Cricetulus griseus: one gene and its partner. Each later gene encodes a partner of the first gene's protein in a complex. Links are inferred from orthologs where the notes say so. Each region holds a gene or a part of one and is shown on either strand. Other genes may lie near its edges.

What was found.
Region 2: Ercc2 (region 1) and Polr2d share a complex: the UniProt entries of both Homo sapiens proteins name them as parts of the TBP-based Pol II pre-initiation complex. The link is inferred for Cricetulus griseus from reciprocal best matches to the Homo sapiens genes ERCC2 and POLR2D.

The regions. Positions count from the first base shown.
Region 1 is NC_048602.1:27,965,196-27,974,026, reverse strand, and holds part of Ercc2 (general transcription and DNA repair factor IIH helicase subunit XPD), read left to right. Parts: intron 1-1,175; coding exon 1,176-1,253; intron 1,254-1,329; coding exon 1,330-1,392; intron 1,393-1,532; coding exon 1,533-1,646; intron 1,647-2,944; coding exon 2,945-3,061; intron 3,062-3,271; coding exon 3,272-3,388; intron 3,389-3,730; coding exon 3,731-3,854; intron 3,855-3,945; coding exon 3,946-4,042; intron 4,043-4,127; coding exon 4,128-4,261; intron 4,262-4,331; coding exon 4,332-4,500; intron 4,501-4,943; coding exon 4,944-5,062; intron 5,063-6,675; coding exon 6,676-6,745; intron 6,746-6,822; coding exon 6,823-6,892; intron 6,893-6,973; coding exon 6,974-7,075; intron 7,076-7,984; coding exon 7,985-8,048; intron 8,049-8,411; coding exon 8,412-8,533; intron 8,534-8,831. UniProt on the Homo sapiens protein: ATP-dependent 5'-3' DNA helicase. Component of the general transcription and DNA repair factor IIH (TFIIH) core complex, not absolutely essential for minimal transcription in vitro.
Region 2 is NC_048595.1:205,579,298-205,588,791, forward strand, and holds the start of Polr2d (DNA-directed RNA polymerase II subunit RPB4), read right to left. Parts: upstream 5,971-9,494; 5' UTR 5,914-5,970; coding exon 5,841-5,913; intron 2,483-5,840; coding exon 2,302-2,482; intron 730-2,301; coding exon 634-729; intron 1-633. UniProt on the Homo sapiens protein: Core component of RNA polymerase II (Pol II), a DNA-dependent RNA polymerase which synthesizes mRNA precursors and many functional non-coding RNAs using the four ribonucleoside triphosphates as substrates.

The DNA of each region.
Region 1 (8,831 bases):
TGCACCTGGAGCTCCATCCCAGCCCTCTGTTTCCTTTCTGTATGAGACAGGACATAACTAAATTGCCCAGGCTCACTCTGTAGCCCAGGCTGACACTGATCTTAGCAGTTCTCCTGCCTTAGGTTCCAGGTGACAGACAGACTTTGACAGGCTGACTGGTGTTGATACTCAGAGTCTATTTGGCCTGTGTATGGTCACAGTAGTGGAAGGGGGGGGGTTCAGGATGTGGAGGACAGAGGACAACTTTGTGGACTTGGTTGTCTCCTACTTTTATGCGGGTCCTGGGAATCAAATTCAGGCTGGTAGACTTGATGGCAACCGCCTTTACGTGCTGAGCTGACTCAACAGCCCTGAACACAAACTTTCTTTAAAACAATTTTTAAAAATTGTATTTATTTATTTAGAGTGTGGGTGTCCATGCTCTGGTGTGCATGAGGAGGTCAGTGGACAACTTCTGGGAGGCAGTTTGGTTCTTCCTTCGGTGTAGGTGCCGGGGATTGAACTCAGTGATCAGCTGGGCCCCAGGTACCTTTACCTGCTGAGTCATCTCACTGGCCCACAAGTCTATTGATACTCTTAATCTTTTTTTTTTCTTTCTTTCTTTCTTTTTTGGTTTTTCAAGACAGGGTTTCTCTGTGTAACAGCCCTGGCTGTCCTGGAACTCACTCTGTAGACCAGGCTGGCCTCAAGCTCACAAAGAGCCTCCTGCCTCTGCCTGCTGAGTGCTGGGATTAAAGGCGTGCGCCACCAACGCCTGGCAGTCCTCACAATCTTGTTCCAAGTAAGGGCTGTGGAGCCAAGGAGTCAAGCAAGGATGCTGTGACCCAGGTGTGATCCAGAGAGGTCAACGAAATAGGGCTCAGCCTGCAACCCCAGTACTCAGGAGGTAGAGGCAGGAGCATCACCAAGTGTACAAAGCCAGCCAGAGGTGCATAGCAAGTACTAGACTAGCCAAGGCTACAGAGCACGATCCTTGGGATGAAAATTAAGGATGAAAAATAAAAACTCCAGCAAAAAAGAAGCAGAGATGAAGCCCCTTGTTCCCTGGGCCTTGATGGCAGTTCACCGTTGTGTGTGTCATGTTCCTAGGTAATGGTGTCCTCTAGGGTCCCCAGAGTTTATGACCCCGAGGTTCTGAGAGCCCGTGTCTTGTCTCTTCTGTGCCCAACTTTCAGGGTCATGGAGTCCTGGAGATGCCCTCAGGCACCGGGAAGACAGTGTCCCTGCTGGCCCTGATAGTGGCCTACCAGAGGGTGAGTGACCATCATGGGTGTCTGGACTGGGGGGCGGGGAGGGGCTGGATGGGGCTGAGCTGATTGTCACCCACAGGCTTTTCCGCTGGAGGTGACCAAACTTATCTACTGCTCTCGGACTGTGCCAGAGATTGAGAAGGTGGGCAGTGAGGATGGACCCAGTGGTCTGTCCCCTCCCCTCGGCCTCAGTGGTCCCCAGTTGCTGCCCTCACTGGCCTGGTGGGCAGGGGCTTATGCTGGTCCTGAGGTCCCCACGCAATGCTCCCATCGTCTAAGCAGGTCATAGAAGAGCTTCGCAAGCTGCTCAGCTTCTATGAGCAGCAGGAGGGCGAGAAGCTGCCGTTCTTGGGACTAGCTCTGAGCTCAAGAAAGAACCTGTGCATTCATCCCGAGGTGAGACCCGGGCCTCGCCCTCAGCCTTGGGCTACCCAGTGCAAGCCCCAGAGACAGCCCGTGGCCATGTGAGGTGACCACCAGTGTAACTCCCTTTTCAGTTAGATCTTGGGTCATCAGTCAGAGCGCAGGTTAGCTCCTGCTCCTAGAACAGAAACTGCTGGAGTGCCAGGGTGACGCCTCAGAATTTCTCATTTGACCTCATGGGATAAGTCAAAGTCTAAACGGTAGAGCACATTTGAAGTGTTAGGATTTTTATATACATGAAACATAAGTGAATTTCATGGCAGCCTCCTGTCCTATCTGACGATATCTATTATATGTATGTAGGTATTCCAGAACCCCAAAACACAGTTGAGCCAAGGGCTACTCAGTGAAGACAGGGTTTCTCTGTGTAGCCCTAGCTGTCCTGGAACTCACTCTGTAGACCAGGCTGGCCTTAAACTAACAGATCCTCCTGAGTGCTGGGTTCAAAAACATGTGACACTAACTGTCGGCTTGAATTTTTTTTTTTTTTAAGATTTATTTATCTAATGTGAGTTCTCTATTTGCATGTACACCCTTATTCCAGAAGAGGCCATCAGATCCCATTATAGATGGTTGTGGTTGGTAAGAACTGAACTCAAGACCTCTGGAACAGCAGCCAGTGCTCTTAACCTCTGAGCCATTTCTCTAGCCTTGTCTAGCTTGTTTTTTAAAAGAGAAACTTAGAGCCGGGCGTTTAATCCCAGCACTCAGGAGGCAGAGGCAGGCGATCTCTGTGAGTTCGAGGCGAGTGTGGTCTACAGATCGAATGCCAATAGGCTCTGAAACTACACAGAGAAACCCTGTCTCCAAAAAACAACAAAAAATAAAAGAGAGAGAGAGAGGGAGAAACTTAGATTTTTATTTTTTAAACACTTATAAACACTTCTATGTTGTTTTTTTAAGATTAATTTATGTGTTATGTAAACAGTGTTCTGCCTGCGTATCTCCCTGCACACGTTTTATTGTGAGGTAGGGCCTTGGTGTTTGCCCGGGCTGGCCTGAGTTGGTGCATTCCTCCTGCTCCAGCTGTCTTGGTAACTGGGATTCAGGTCTGTGCTGCCGTGCCCAGCTCTGGGGACGGTTCTGATGTCCCACTCTGACATCCCTGCAGCAAGTCCTTTTAACTAATAGTGGCTCAGGTGAAGGTTCTGGCTGCCCAGAAACCCCAGCTGACCTGCTACTTGTGATGTCCCGAGTTGGGAAACCCAGGTTGGCGTAGCTGGCACGCACTACCTCCTGTCTCTGTTGTAACTTGTCCCCTGAACCCCCAGGTGACACCACTGCGCTTTGGGAAGGACGTGGACGGCAAGTGTCACAGCCTCACAGCCTCATATGTGCGGGCCCAGTACCAGCAGGATGCCAGCCTGCCTCACTGCCGCTTCTATGAGGTGCAGGGAAGGGCCCGGGCCGGGGAGGGCAGACACCCTCAGGACAGCAGCTCTCCCTGACCCTTCCATCTTCTGGCCCGGGCCGGGGAGGGCAGACACCCTCAGGACAGCAGCTCTCCCTGACCCTGCCATCTTCTGGCCCGGGCCGGGGAGGGCAGAGACACTCTGGACAGCAGCTCTCCCTGACACTGCCATCTTCTGCCTCCCCAGGAGTTTGATGCCCACGGACGCCAGGTGCCCCTCCCGGCAGGCATCTACAACCTGGATGACCTGAAGGCCCTGGGGCAGCGGCAGGGCTGGTGCCCCTACTTCCTGGCTCGATACTCGGTGAAGAGTTGTTTTGTTTTCTTCTGGGGCAGGGTCTCACTTATAACCCAGGCTGGCCTCAAACTTAGAAGAACCTTACGCAGGTTCCCAGCTATGGGGGTTATAGGCATGAGCCACTTTTGCCCACCCCTCCGTTAGCCCATCTGTCTGCTTGCATCTTTGTTGACCTGGTACCTAGGTCTTCCTGTCTCCAGCCTCTGTTTATGCCTTGCCTGGGTGGTCCCATCTGTCTTTTCCATCCACCTGCTGTCTGTCTTGGTGTTACGTCTGTACACCTGGGAAGGAGTGGTATGGCGGGGGCAGCAGGGCCCAAGGCAAAAACTTATCCCTCCATGTTCCTAGATCCTGCATGCCAACGTGGTGGTTTACAGCTACCACTATCTCCTGGACCCCAAGATCGCAGACCTGGTGTCCAAAGAGCTGGCCCGCAAGGCCGTCGTGGTCTTCGATGAAGCCCACAACATTGGTGAGGAGGGTGCCAGGGTGTGCAGACAGCGGCGGCCTCTCTGCCCCGCCCCCAAGCCGGCTGAGCCCATGTCTGTCTGCTTTCCTCCTAGACAATGTCTGCATCGACTCCATGAGTGTAAACCTCACCCGCAGGACTCTGGACCGCTGCCAGAGCAACTTGGACACCTTGCAGAAGACGGTGCTCAGGTGCCCACTCTGCTCCCTGTGTGCCGCCTGCCTCCGTGGCCCTGGACACCTGCCCCATTCCAGCTCTGTCCCATGTCCCCGCCAGGATCAAGGAGACAGACGAGCAGCGGCTGCGGGACGAGTACCGGCGCCTGGTGGAGGGGCTGCGGGAGGCCAGCGCGGCGCGGGAGACAGACGCGCACCTGGCGAACCCTGTGCTGCCGGACGAGGTGCTGCAGGGTGAGCCGTGCCCCACCCCCCACCCTCACACGCCTTCCTTCCCGTGCCAGCTGACTCAGTCTCCCTGCAGAGGCCGTGCCAGGCTCCATCCGCACTGCCGAGCACTTCCTGGGCTTCCTGCGGCGGCTGCTGGAGTACGTCAAGTGGCGGCTGCGCGTGCAGCATGTGGTACAGGAGAGCCCTCCTGCCTTCCTGAGCGGCCTGGCTCAGCGCGTGTGCATCCAACGCAAGCCCCTCAGGTGCGCATGCTGCCATGGGGACCTCAGGTCCAGACCTGTGGCTGGTGACGGGGTCAGGGGTCAGGTCAGAGTCGGATGTGGAGCGAGCCGTGTCACTGTGAGGTCAGCTCTTGGCTGTGACCGCTGCAGGACTACCTGGTACTTCTGCAGCCCTATGCGTGTGCATATGCGAGCCTGGGAAAGTGTGTGGCTGTTCTTTCTGAGCGTGGGGCCCACGACACTGGCTGCACAGCACAGTGACTGATGGCCATGGGTCTTGTTTGACAAGAATTTGCATACAAGCGGCAAACCTGGGCGCCGTGTGCGTGTGCTAGTGCTGTGCGGTAGCTGTGGATGTTTGCAGTGTGGGGACAGCTTGGCCACAGACGATGCCCAGGTAAACAGGTGGCGAGAGTCCCAGCCATTGCTGCTTCCCTCCCTCTCCCGACCCCATGGCTTCTCAGGTTCTGTGCTGAGCGCCTGCGCTCCCTCCTGCACACCTTGGAGATTGCTGACCTGGCTGACTTCTCCCCGCTCACACTCCTTGCTAACTTCGCCACTCTCGTCAGCACTTACGCCAAGGGTAAGCTCCCCTCTTGCTCCTCCTGGCAGCGGACTTGGGGGCCTAGCTAAGTCGGGTGGGGTATTAGCAGGAAGTCTGGGCATGTGAGACAGGGGATTTGAGCTACTATGAGGGCCCTGGGGAACAAGCGAGTGAGCGAGCCTCGTGTTCAGATTCGTGTGTCTAGAGGCTCCTCCTGGCTGCAGGGGGAGAACTCGAGTGAGCTGTGATACTGAGCAGAGGGATGCTGTGCGGTCAGCCCACCTTTGGCTGGGGGAGAAGTCCTCATGTGTGCCTGAGGGCACCGGGAGCCATGGCAGGGTCTGGGCAAGGGATGTACTTGGTGAGGTTGTTGTTTTCAAGGTTCATCCAACAGAGAGGGGGAGCCATAGACTGTGGGGACAGGAAAAGGGAGCCTTGGGGAGAGCTATGGGAGAAAGCGGCCAGATGTAAAAGCCCTTGAGGGAGAGGGATGCAGGTGATGCACAGGGAGAGGGGACAAGCTACAGCTTTTGTTGCCCCCGCCCGCCCCAGCTTTGCACTGAGTTTTTAAGCTTATCCCTGGGGATTAGTACCGTAGCCAGGAAACCAGGTCAGCTGGCGTCCTGCAGCTGGCCCAGCCTTGGAAGAAGGGGCTGCTGGCAGCTGTCTGCTTCCTTCTGCCCTCACCCAGCCTCTTCTCCTGGCCTTCATTGTTCTCCCTCCGGCCCCCACCTACTGATGCATCCATCACAGTCTTACAGAAAGCCTCCTTCCCTGTGCCCCATCACCTGCCCGAGTCAAGTCCTTTACCTCTCAGAAAGTCACCCCCACTCCATTCCATCCTGGGCCTGCCCCTCCCTCTGTCCCAGCTGGGTCTCTGGCTAGCTGTCTCCCCCGTGCAAGGAGAGCCCTTTTGGGTAGGACCGAGATTCTGTTGGTTTCTGCTGGGTCCTCAGCATGATGCTGGACACAAGACCTGGTCTTTCCTTGCCAAGTGAAACAGAATCTGTGAATGTAATCATTTGTTCAGTCAACAGATGGGCCAGGCTGGGCCCCGTGGAGACAGCGGGATCTAACACAGCCAGGCTGGGCCCGGAGTCTAACACACACAGCCAGGCTGGGCCCAGCACAGCCTTAGTTGCCCCCCTCATCCTCCTGTCCATATCCCTACCCTCATCTGGGAGCCACAGCCTGGGGGCTAGGAGCAAAGATCACTCCAGAAGGGGACACTAGAAAGTGTGGCTGTGCTGTGAGGAGCAGGAGTCCTGGCTCCCAGGGTGCCTGTGGAACAAGGACCCAACCAACCAAGTGGGCCCTGGGACATGACGCTGATACCGTAGCTGGGAGCAAGGGCTGGCCCTGCAGAGTTCATGGGCACACTTCTGGGTATGGCAGGAGTGTGGAGACACCAGCCAACTTAAGGTTCCATAGCGTCTCCCCGACTGCAGTGTGGGGAGCAGGGGGGGACAGGTGGGAGTGAGGCCGGCCTGGGGGAGGGCGGGCCTGGCCTCCCTGCGGGGCCGTGCAGTGAAGCCCTGGCTCACCCTGCTTCCACACCTGAGCGTTTGTACAGTCCTGTCCTGCGCTAGCCATGGCAGGGGCAGGGGCAGGCGGGGGCTGTCGTGCACACTCACCGGCCTCCTCCTCCCCAGGCTTCACCATTATCATCGAGCCCTTTGATGACAGGACCCCGACCATTGCCAACCCCATCCTGCACTTCAGGTGAGATGCAAGCCTGTGTGGACAGGATGGCTTCGCCCCCGGCCTCTGCCCTGGGTGACGACTGTGTTATCCCACAGTTGTATGGACGCCTCCTTGGCCATCAAGCCTGTGTTTGAGCGCTTCCAGTCTGTCATCATCACCTCTGGGGTGAGGACTCTGTGCTGTTGTTCCATGGGGGCCCTGGTCCCTGCCCCAGTCTGCTGAGGTCCTCCTTGCTGTCTCTTGCAGACACTGTCCCCACTGGACATCTACCCCAAGATCCTGGACTTCCACCCCGTCACCATGGCAACCTTCACCATGACACTGGCCCGAGTCTGCCTCTGCCCAATGGTGAGTGGGTGAGACCCATGGGAGCACCAAGCCACCAAATGGTGCCTGGAAGGGTCTCTTCCCAGCAACCTGGACCATAGTGCTCAGGGAGCAGGCCTGGTGCTTTATCACCGTATAGGTCAGGGTGAGTGTGCCATTTGTCATCCAGCTGTGACTTGGATAATGAGCCTGCCTCTGTTTTGGAGTTTAGAGTGTGGCCGGCTGTTAGACATATTCACCCCACAGTCCATGGGCCACATGAAGCCAGCTGTGGCTGGGGATGCTGTTTGGCACATCAGAAACACTTTAAACCTTACGCAAGGTTTGTAGCCTGCTTGCATGCTTGTGGAGCACGAGCTGTGTACAGCCTGTCTGCAGGCCTGCTCTCGGCAGCAGGGGTTAGTTAGACGGTTGTTTTCAGAGCTGTGGGCTTTTTGGAATGTTCCCTCTGACCATTCACTGGCATGGTGGACTGGGGAGGGAGGCTAATGGGGTGTGTGTTTTGGGTGACCTGTGTTCTGAAACTACCTAAGGCTGGAGTGTAGCCTTGCCTAGAAGCAGAGGTCCCTGCCCTGGGACCTGTTGCAGGGCATTGGCCCAAGCAGTTGCAGCCATAGGCTTAGGGCCACTGTCTATGTCTACATGACGCTTTCCTGAGCTCGGGCCTTATTTGGTACAGTGCTCGCCTAATACATGGAAGTGCCTGTGCTAGCTAGCTGTGGTAATGCAGGCCTGTGATCTTGGGAAGTGGGCAGGAGGACCAGGAGTTCATGGAACTTCAGAGGTTGGGGAAACAGCTTCTCATGGGTTTGGGAGGGTAGGTAGCCTCAGTGAAGCTCGCGTCTAAAGGCCAGCCTGGGCTACATGAGACACTAAGTCAAAAAAGGGGACATTTGTCAGGTGTATCACAGAACCTTCACTCTGTTTCAGATCATTGGCCGTGGTAATGACCAGGTGGCCATCAGCTCCAAATTTGAGACCAGGGAAGATATTGGTGAGTCACCTGTGTGGGCTTGGTTGGGGTGGGTTACAGGTGGACAAGGACTTGGTACCATAACACACACACACACACACACAACCAGCCTCTGTGGCGGACACAGGCCCACTGTGGGTTGAGCCCACCCTGGGTCTCTTCACTTTGGAAGCTGTGCCACCAGGCACCACTGAGCCGTAGCACCAGCAGAGGGCCTTTGGAACAGTGGGCACTGGCTTCTGAGTGTCATCTAGAAGAGACACCGCCACCTCTATGTATTTCTTGTGCTGTGGCATGTCTCTGGGTGGCTTGGGAGGAAGGAACTGGATAACTAGCCTCAGTGAGCAGCAGGAGAGGATCCAATCTCCAATCCCCTCTCCCTAGCTGTAATCCGCAACTACGGCAACCTCCTGCTGGAGATGTCTGCTGTGGTCCCCGACGGCATTGTGGCCTTCTTTACCAGCTACCAATACATGGAAAGCACCGTGGCCTCCTGGTATGAGCAGGTATGCCTAGTCCCCACCACCCAAACCCTCAGCTCTGCTCTTCCTGTGGGGGCTTCACTCCCCATGTTTCCACCATGACACATGTCACAGGACAGGATGGTGGTGCTAACAGACCCTGCAGGCTCATCAGTGTTTCCCTTGACCAGAGAGGACCACCATTGGGGTTACTGCAGACTACATCCCCAGCAAGCAGGCCTGGTGCCAGGGGGACGGTGTTGTGAGCTTAAGGTTCCACTCTAGGAGCTCTTGTGTGTGGGTGAGGCCTCTGCCTCCCGAGTGCTGCGATTAAAGGCGTGCG
Region 2 (9,494 bases), on another chromosome or scaffold:
ATTGGCCTGATTTTCTTGGAATAAAAGCACAAACTAGCAGGCCCTGTAATGATTCATTTCTAGTCATTCACCTGTTGACTGACTTAAGGACTGTGTCCAATAGCTGTTATCATCAATACCACATTAGTGAATACTAGAATACATTTTTGGGTAATGGGAAATAGTCACATTGATTTTACTAGACAAAGTAAAACTGCTCTACTATTACCTGCAGTGAATGAGAATTCTGGCTGTTTCTTATGCTCCTTTGTGAGGTTCTGGGAGAGCAAACTCAGACCCTCACACACAATAGACAAGGGCTCTGCCACTGAGCTATATCCCTAGCACCCTGTTCCATGTCCTTTCTGTCAGTGTGGTATAAAACCATCATTCTCAGGCTGGCAAGATGGTTCAGCTGGTAAAGGTTGCTTACCACCAAATCTAACAAGTTGTCCACTGACCTTCACATGCTTAATGTGACACACATGTGCATACATGTGCATACGCACATAAAAAACACCATAAAATTACATTCTTCTTCAGTGCTGGCATGTCATCAACCCAAATATCAAATGCATAAAACACTTAGATCTAGCAATCTGACTTGAAGAAATCTATATAACACAGACAAAACTTGTCCCATTGGGTACTGACCTTGGAATCAGAGCTTTGGACTCCTCAGCAGTTTCTGGACAAAGATTGGCTAAACAGGCCAACTCAAACTTATGTAGCTTTTTCTGGAGAAGCAAGCTGATTGCAGGGAAAATAAAAATTTAGAAAGACAAACAAAGGAGAAGTGAAACAAGAGCAGAAATGGGGAGAAATGAGTTGGATCAAAATATATTATGTACAATTAACATATGCTAATAAAAAGCAAAAAAGTCAAATGTCAAACAATGATCAATAGCAAAAAGACCAAATGCAGTTGAGAAAAAATATTTACAATCTTTGATTATGGTCATGTGGGCAACAGAATCCCCTTTTGAATCACTTCCTAGTCTTAACCCTGAAACAAAAGTTCCAGAAAAAAGGAAACAAGTAAAACACAGCAGGTAGAGTCAAGGAAACAAGAAACAAGTGAGCACAGCAGAGTAAAAGAGGCATCTGCTGTATTAGAGAAATCACACAGTGGGTAAGAGCATTCACTGCTACTCTTTCACAGGGCCCAGGTTTGGCTCCCAGTACCCACATGGTGGCTCACAACTGCCTGAAATTCCAGATCTGTGGACTCTGATACCCGTCTCTGGCCTCCCATGTTTACCTGGCACTCATGTGGTGCAAAGGCAAAACACTCACATATAAAAATAAATTTAATAAATGTTAAAAGCATCTGCCAATCACACCTCATGAAAACCCAAAGCGACAGATGTTTTCCTCCAGAAAGTCACTCTCTAGCTCTCTGATCTTCCTGCTATATTTGATAAGTTAATGTCAAACAACAATTTATTAAGTATGTTGACATGGAAGTAACTCTCCTTTAACTTTAAAAATAAATACACCAAACTCTGCTTTGTGCAACTGTGTGTGTCAACTGCATCTTCAGTATTTTCATGGTCTACACTATAAAATAAGGCTTACCACGATGAATTTCATTTCAAAATATAGTATTAAGAAGTTATATTTGAAGCTGGGTGATGGTGGTGCATGCCTTTAATCCCAGCACTCAGGAGATAGAGGCAGGTAGATCTCTTTGAGATAGAGGCTGGCCTGTTCTAAAGAGTTAGTTCTAGGATGGCCAAGGCAAGAAATCCTATTTTAAAAAACAAACAAAAAAGACAGGGTCTCATGTAGTCAAGGATGGTTTTAAACCCACTATGAACCTAAGGATGACCTTGAACTCCCTGATTGCCTCTACCTCTCATGAGAATATACAATAATAAAACTTTAGGTAGGGCTGGAGAGATGGCTCAGCAGTTAAGAGTACTAGCTGTTCTTCCAGAGGACCTAGGTTCTGAGTCCCAGCACCCACATGGTGGTTCACAACTGCCTGTAATTCCAGTCCTGGGGATCTGATACCCTCTTCTGGTTTCTGTGGGCATTGCATGGTGCACAGACATACAAGCAGGCAAAATACTCTTAACCCTAGGTCGGGTGTGGTGTGGTGGTACACGAACGCCTTTGATGTCATTACTTGGGGAGGGGGCGTGGCAGAGGCAGGCTGATCTCTGTGAGTTTGAGGCCAGCCTGGTCTACAAATCGAGTTCCGGAACAGCCGGGGCTGTTACACAAAAAAACCTTGTTTCAAACAAAACTTCCCCCGAGCAAAAAAAAACCCTTACAACATATATAAGTAAATTTTGTCTTTTAACTCTTAGTACTCACCTACGAACACTGGCAATGGTCTCTCTGTTTTTGAAACGACTGAAGCGGGCTGTATAGTTTAGGGTTTTCATGAAAACCTCTGAAAGTTCCTGCTCATCCTCTGCACTCTCATTCTGCTGTTTTCGATGCTCCAGAAGCATGTGAACTTCGGAGTTTAGGAGAGTCTCGGCTGTTTCAAACTCTGCAAGAAGAGCAAGTGTGAACTAAAAGTACTCTTTTAAAAAGCATGCATCCGCCAGTCAGTAGTGGCTCATACCTTTAGTTCCAGGATTTGGGCAGCAGAGACTAGATGATCTTTGAATTTGAAGCCAGCCTGGCTTATATTAGTGACCTGCAGGAAAGTCAGAAACACATAGAGACTCAAAAACAAACAAACAAACAAACACACACCAAAAAGCAAAACTATAGGGTTGGAGAAATGAGCATATACTACTCTTGCAAAGGAAGTTCAATTCCCAGCACCCACATCAGACACCTTACAGCACCTCTGGCCTCCTCAGGTACCTGTACACTTAATAAAAATAAAAGTAAATCTTAAAACACTAACATAAGAGCTGGAGGGAGGGCTCAGCACTTAAGAGCACTGGCTTCCAGAGGATCAAGGTTCTGTTCCCAGCACTCATGTGGTGGCTTACAATCATCTGTAAGTCCAATTCCAGGTAATCAAATGCCTAGTTATGGCTCCTATGGGCACCAGACATACATGCCGGCAAAACATCCTTATATATAAAATTTTGAAAAGTAAGATTTTTCATCTCAATTAAAAAAAAAAGAGAAAAGATAAAATCACTATTTAGGGCTGGGCAGATGCTTAGGTTGATAAAGTACTTGCCACTCAAGTGTGAGGAGCAGAGTTGAGATCCTCAGAACCCCAAAAATTGGTATAGTGGGGTGCCTGTATCCAGCAGTTGGTAGTGAGACAAGGTATTTATTCCCTGGAGGCAAGCTGACCAGTTAGATCAGCTGTGAGCTCTGGGTTCAGCAAGAGTTTGCCTCAGTAAGTGGAAAATAATCAAGGAGGTTATTTAACATTAACTCCAGGCCTCTAAAAGCACCTGCATAAGAACATGTGCCCACACATATGTACATAACATATACATACACACACAAACAAATAAGTTAATGTTGCTATCTGGGCTGGGAATGTACCTTGGTTGATAGAATGTTTCCTCAGTATGCACAAAGCCATAAATTCCATCCACTGCACCACACAAATTGGGCACATGGCTGTAATACCAGGACTTGGGAGACAGAGACAGGAGAATCTCTGCATGTGTGATGCCAGCCTGGTCTACATAGAAAATTCCAGGTTAGGGCTGGAGAGACGGCTCAGAGGTTAAGAGCACTGACTGCTCTTCCAGAGGTCCTGAGTTCAATTCCCAGCAACCACATGGTGGCTCACAATCATCCACTATGAGATCTGGTGCCCTCTTCTGGTGTGCAGATATACTGGAAGCAGAATGTTGTATACATAATAAATAAATAAAATCTTAAAAAAAAAAAAGAAAAGAAAATTCCAGGCTAGCCAGTGCTACATGAGACTCTATCTCAAAAATTGGGGGTGGGAGGAGCGAGGGCATAGTCCACAGAGAAGGCTTAGTAGTTGAGAAGTCTTGATGTTCTTACAGAGAACCCAAATTCAGTTCCCCACAACCAATTCAAACGGTTCACATAAATCCATACATCCAGCTCCAGGCAATATGATACCTTTGGGCTCCACAGGTACCTGTATACACGTGAGTCTGAGAGTATGTGCACACAAGCACGCACGCACGACACACACACAATTTTTCTGTAGACACTTGGTTACAGATATCAATAATTTTTGTTATCAGGCCGGGTGTTGGTGGCCCACGCCTTTAATTCCAACACTCAGGAGGCAGAGGCAGGTGGATCTCTGAGTTCAAAGCCAGCCTGGTCTACAGAGTGAGTGCCAGGATAGGCTCCAAAGCTACACAGAGAAACCCTGTCTCCAAAAACCAAAAAAAAAAAAAAAAAAAAAAAAAGGATTTGTTATCATAAACAGGGGCTGGGGATGTAGCTCAATTTTTAGAGTGTTTGTTTAGAACGCACAAAAAACTAGGCTTAAGCCCGGTGGTGGTGGCATAAGCCTTTAATCCCAATACTCAGGAGACAGAGGCAGGAGGATCTCTGTAAGTTCCAGCTAGCATGGTCTACAGAGTGAGTTCCTGGACAGGCTCCAAAACTACAAAGAAATCCTGTCTTTAAAATAAAAACAAAACAAAACAAAAACAAAGAACAAAAAAAATCTAGGTTTAATTCCTAGCATCATGGAAGTAGAAGCAGGAGGATGGCAAGTTCAAGGCCATTCTTGCCTACTTCCTAGTTTCAAGCCAGTCTGGGCTACATGAGACCCTGCTCAAAACAAAACTCACAAAGGCACAGCACTCATCTTGGTGTTTTACTCGAATGCCTAGGCTAGCCTTGAACTCTTGGGCTCAAACTATTCACCTACCACAGGCTCCCTGTAGCAGGAGCAAGGTGGCACACAAAAATACATTGAACAGCAGGTACCAGTCATCCCAGACTGGAACCCATCTTGCTTCCAACTGTTCTTCATAACTCAAAAATATAAAAAGAGGGCCCAGAACCCAATGACAACAGCATCTCTGCTCAGGAGCAATGGCACTCTTCTGACCTATAGACCTTGAGATGCTTTTGACTAGCACTATAATGGGGCTATAGCTGAGTTTCTGCCAGCTGTCAATTTAGAATAGAGACCTCTGCTCCGACCTGCAGTGGTGGTGCACGCCTTTAATCCCAGCACTTGGGAGCCAGAGACAGGATCTCTGTGAGTTCGAGGCCTGCCTGTTCTTCAGATCGAGGACAGGCTCCAAAGCTACAGAGAAACCCTGCCTCAAAAAGCAAAACAAAACAAAACTAAGACCTGTGCTCCAGATCTGCCTTTTGCATGCCAGAAAATGGACATAAATACCTCTAAATGTCAAGAGCCCATGCCCTTAATTCCACCACTCAGGAGAATGGGGCAGGAATGTGACAAGTTGGAGGCCAGCCTAGGATACATAGCATGAAACTCTGAAAAAAACAAAACTGCCAGGTGTGAGACGCACGCCTTTGATTCGAACACTCACAAGGCAGAGGCTGGCTGATTTCATTGAGTTCAGGGCCAGCCTGGTCTACAATATGAACTGCAGGCCATCCAGGACTACAAGTGAGACACAGTTTCAAACAATAAACAAACAAACAAACATAGGGGGATCTCTGCGAGTTCGAGGCCAGAAACTCTGTCTCGAAAAAGCAGGAAAAAAAAAAGGTAGCAAGTGGCACTACAAGAGTAGGGTATGTGGATATCCACGATTCCAAAACCCCGGGCGTGGACGTTTCTCCAAGGAATTAAGTAAACCACGCAAGGGTTCATCTGTGCCGTGCTGACCAATCCCCTGTGCGTATCCCTTGGCAATCCTACGACGTGCCAGGGCTAGGGCTAACCAAGGAGCGGATAACGACTGTAACTCAAGGACCATGTCACCTCGGAGTCGAGGTGCCCCGGGTCCCACCTTTAGGAAAGATGAGCTGAGACGCGTCTTCTTCTACGTCGCCAGCCCGGGGATCGCTGCCGCCGGCCGCCATTGCTTCAGGATGTACCGCCACAGAAACCACCGGAAACGGAAGCCGCGAGGGCGGGCTACCCACCAAGGGAGGAACCTATCCGGTTCAGGGGCGGGGCCAGATGGAAAGGGCGGGCCCTAAGGAAGCCGAGTGGGCGGGAGGGGAAGGTTGGAAGGGGGAGGTACTGGGGCCACTCACGAGACTGGCCTCACTGCGCGAGGAGGGCGCTCAGGTCGCATTCCTGGTGGCTCCCGGTCGTTGGAGGGGGTTCTGTACTGCCGTCTTGGAGATGAGCTGTTTATTTTCTCCAAACGCTCTTGCCGTGAGACCTGGAATGGTCAGTAAACCCGTTCAGGAGAAAAGGATTAAGTGAAGTGCAGGAAAGACCAAAGTGACCGACCCAAGGAATGGCCTATGATGGGAAGGAAGCTGGGTAGGTGACTACAGAAACATATTGGAATGTCTTTCAATGATTTGATTATGTAAAAAACAAATTGATTAACCCGATGTGGTGGTCATGTATTAATCTACTGGGCAAGAGGATAAAGAGTTGAAGGAGAGCGGTGTATAGTGGCAGATGCCTTTAATCCCAGCAGTTGCAAGGCAGGAGCAGGAGGATCTTAGAGTTCAACGACAGTGATAGTTTCAGGACAGCCAGAGCTACAGAGTGAGACCATGTCTCAAAAAACCAAAACAAGCAAAAACAACGTTCGAGACTGAGCCTTGGCTATATAGCAAATCCGTGATTCATGCCAATCCAGGCTACATACCATCCTGTTGCAAAATGGGGTGCGAGGGTTAATTGTTTGTACTGTATTTAATAATTCAGAGCAAATGAACTCTAATATTGAGAATCCTTTAGTGTGTCTGTGGGACGTTTGAATCATAAGTGGAAAGTTAAAGGAAAAAGTAATGCTATTTTCAACACAAGAGAAAACAAGTGTTTGTACAATAAGGGGGGAAAAAATCTTCCCCAGCGCTTGGCTCATTAGGAAACAGTACTAAATTCAGCTAACTTAATAAAAAATGAATTGAAGGGGTTGGAGAGATGGCACTGTGATTAAGAACACTGATGTGCTTTTAGAAGACCTGAGTTAATTTCCAGAATCCACATTAGGAGGCTCACAAACACCTGTTGACTCCAGCTACAAGGGATCCAAAGCCCTTTCTATCCTCTTTTGGAGCACACACACCCTGTACATACACACAAAATAAATCTTTTTTGTTGTTCTTTTTCGAGACAGGATGTATCTGTGTTAACAGTCCTTATTGTCCTGGAACTCATTCTGTAGACCAGGCTGGACTTGAACTCACAAAGATCCACCTGCCTCTGCCTCCCGAGTGCTGGTATTCAAGGTGTGCACCACCACCACTCGGCTCAAAATAAATCTTTAAAAATGGATTGAAAGCCGGGTGGTGGTGCCTTTAGTCCCAGCACTCGGGGGACAGAGGCAGGCGGATCTCTGTGAGTTCGAGACCAGCCTGGTCTACAAGAGCTAGTTCCAGAACAGCCTCCAAAGCCACAGAGAAAACCTGTCTCAAACCCCCCCCCCCAAAAAAAAATGGATTGAAAACTGGGCAGATGGCTCTTAACCACTAAGCCATGTCTTCAGCCCCTGTTGTGAAGTTCTCATATACTGTTCAGGAAAGCACTGTGAAATGCTTAAAAAACTCTGTTCTTTACAGAGGTCCTAGGTTCAATTTCCAGCACCCACATGGCAGCTCACAATCATCTATAACTGTAGTCCCAGGGAATCCAATGGCCTCTTCTGGTGTGCAGAGATACATGTAGATAAAACACCCATATAAATAAAATAAACAAATAAATCTTAGAAACAAAACTATAAAACTTCACAACATATATGCTGGGGCTTATCAAAATTCCTGAAAAGATATCCAAGACAATAGTTCATGGTTATACTGCATCTAAATAGTTAGAAATGGGCTGGAGGTTCAGCACATACCCAGGACCCAGGGAAAGACAGACAGACAGACAGACAGACAGACAGACACACACACACACACACACACACACAGAGAGAGAGAGAGAGAGAGAGAGAGAGAGAGAGAGAGAGAGAGAGAGAGAGAGAGAAGTCACCAAGTATATAGAAAAAAAAGCAGAGTAACAAAAATATAAACTTGACATTTCACAGGTTGGTTATTTATTGCATTTTCATTCAAGAAATCATTAAAAGCCATCTGTAAGGCATGAGGTTAAAATGATGAGTTAGGTATAAATCTGTCCTCAAAGTGAGCTCACCAACAGTAAATGATATAACGGAAAGTTAAACAAGGTGCTGCTAAGGAAAGATAGCGTCTAAAGTTGGGGTGTGGTTTAAATGTATCCCCTGAAGGTTTGTGTATTGGAAGCTTGATTCCCCTAAACTTGGAAGTAGAACTGGTGGGACTTTTAAGAGGTGGGGACTGGGACTGGGGAGATGCTCAGTCACTAAAGTGCTTGCCATGAAAGTGTGAGGACCCACATTTCATCTGAAAGAGAGTTTGGGGAACATAGGTGGACAAGGAAAGAAAAAGCAGGCTCTCTTGTTCCCAGAAGACATTAGAATCGACAGCAGGAAAGCATGGAGACAGGTATCTAAACAGGACCACCCATGATGGGAAGGGGAGATTCCAGGGGCCCTATAAAATACTCAAGCAAGAGTCCATTTAGGAATTCTGACCAGGGATTCTCCCATCCCTAAGGAATAAAGCTGTTACTTTCCCTTTCTCCAGGGCTCAGTCTTCTGTCTTTCCTAGGTGTTCAAATTCTTTGTCCATATCAGGGAGTGAGCTTGATGGCTCCCTAGATGACCACCGTGTCCTTGTTATAGAGCCTTAGAACCCACATAAAGTGCTAATAATCCAGGCATTGGGGAAGAAGAAGATAGATACAATCCCTAGGGATCACTAGCCAGTCAGTCTAGCCTAATTGTAAATTAAGGGTTCTGAGAGACCTCCCTCAAAGGAACCAGATGACATTCCGATAAGGTTGTTCTCTGTACTGTACATGGATATGTTTACACTCAGAGAGAGAGAGAGCGAGAGAGAGAGAGAGAGAGAGAGAGAGAGAGAGAGAGAGAGAGAGAGAGAGAGAGATGCTCAGTGGTTAAAGGTACTTGCCACCAAGCCTGAGGAGCTGAGTTTAATTTCTGGTATCCACATGATGGAGAAGATTGATTCCCAAAAGTTGCCCTCTGACCTCCATACATGGTGCCCGAACATGTGTGTGAACACACATAGTATTTTAAAGGTTTCAATGATTTGTTTTAAAAAGAAGTGAGACCTTATAGAATGTCCTTAGATCACTGAGGCATACCTTTAGGAGTGATTAATGTAGTTAGTACCCTTTGCACAACAGACTCTCTGAATTTCATTCACCTTTGCCATGTATTCTCTCCTCTTATATGCATTCTTCATAATGCCATGTATCGTGAGGTCCTCAACAGAGCACCATTCCCTTCAGTTTCCAGAACTGTGGCAGATTTTTTTTTTTCTGTGTCCTAGCAGCTGCTTCCAAATAACCACTCAGAGACTTAATATTAATTACAAGTTCTCAGTCAATAGCTCAAGCTTGCTACTAGCTAACTAACATTTTAAATGAA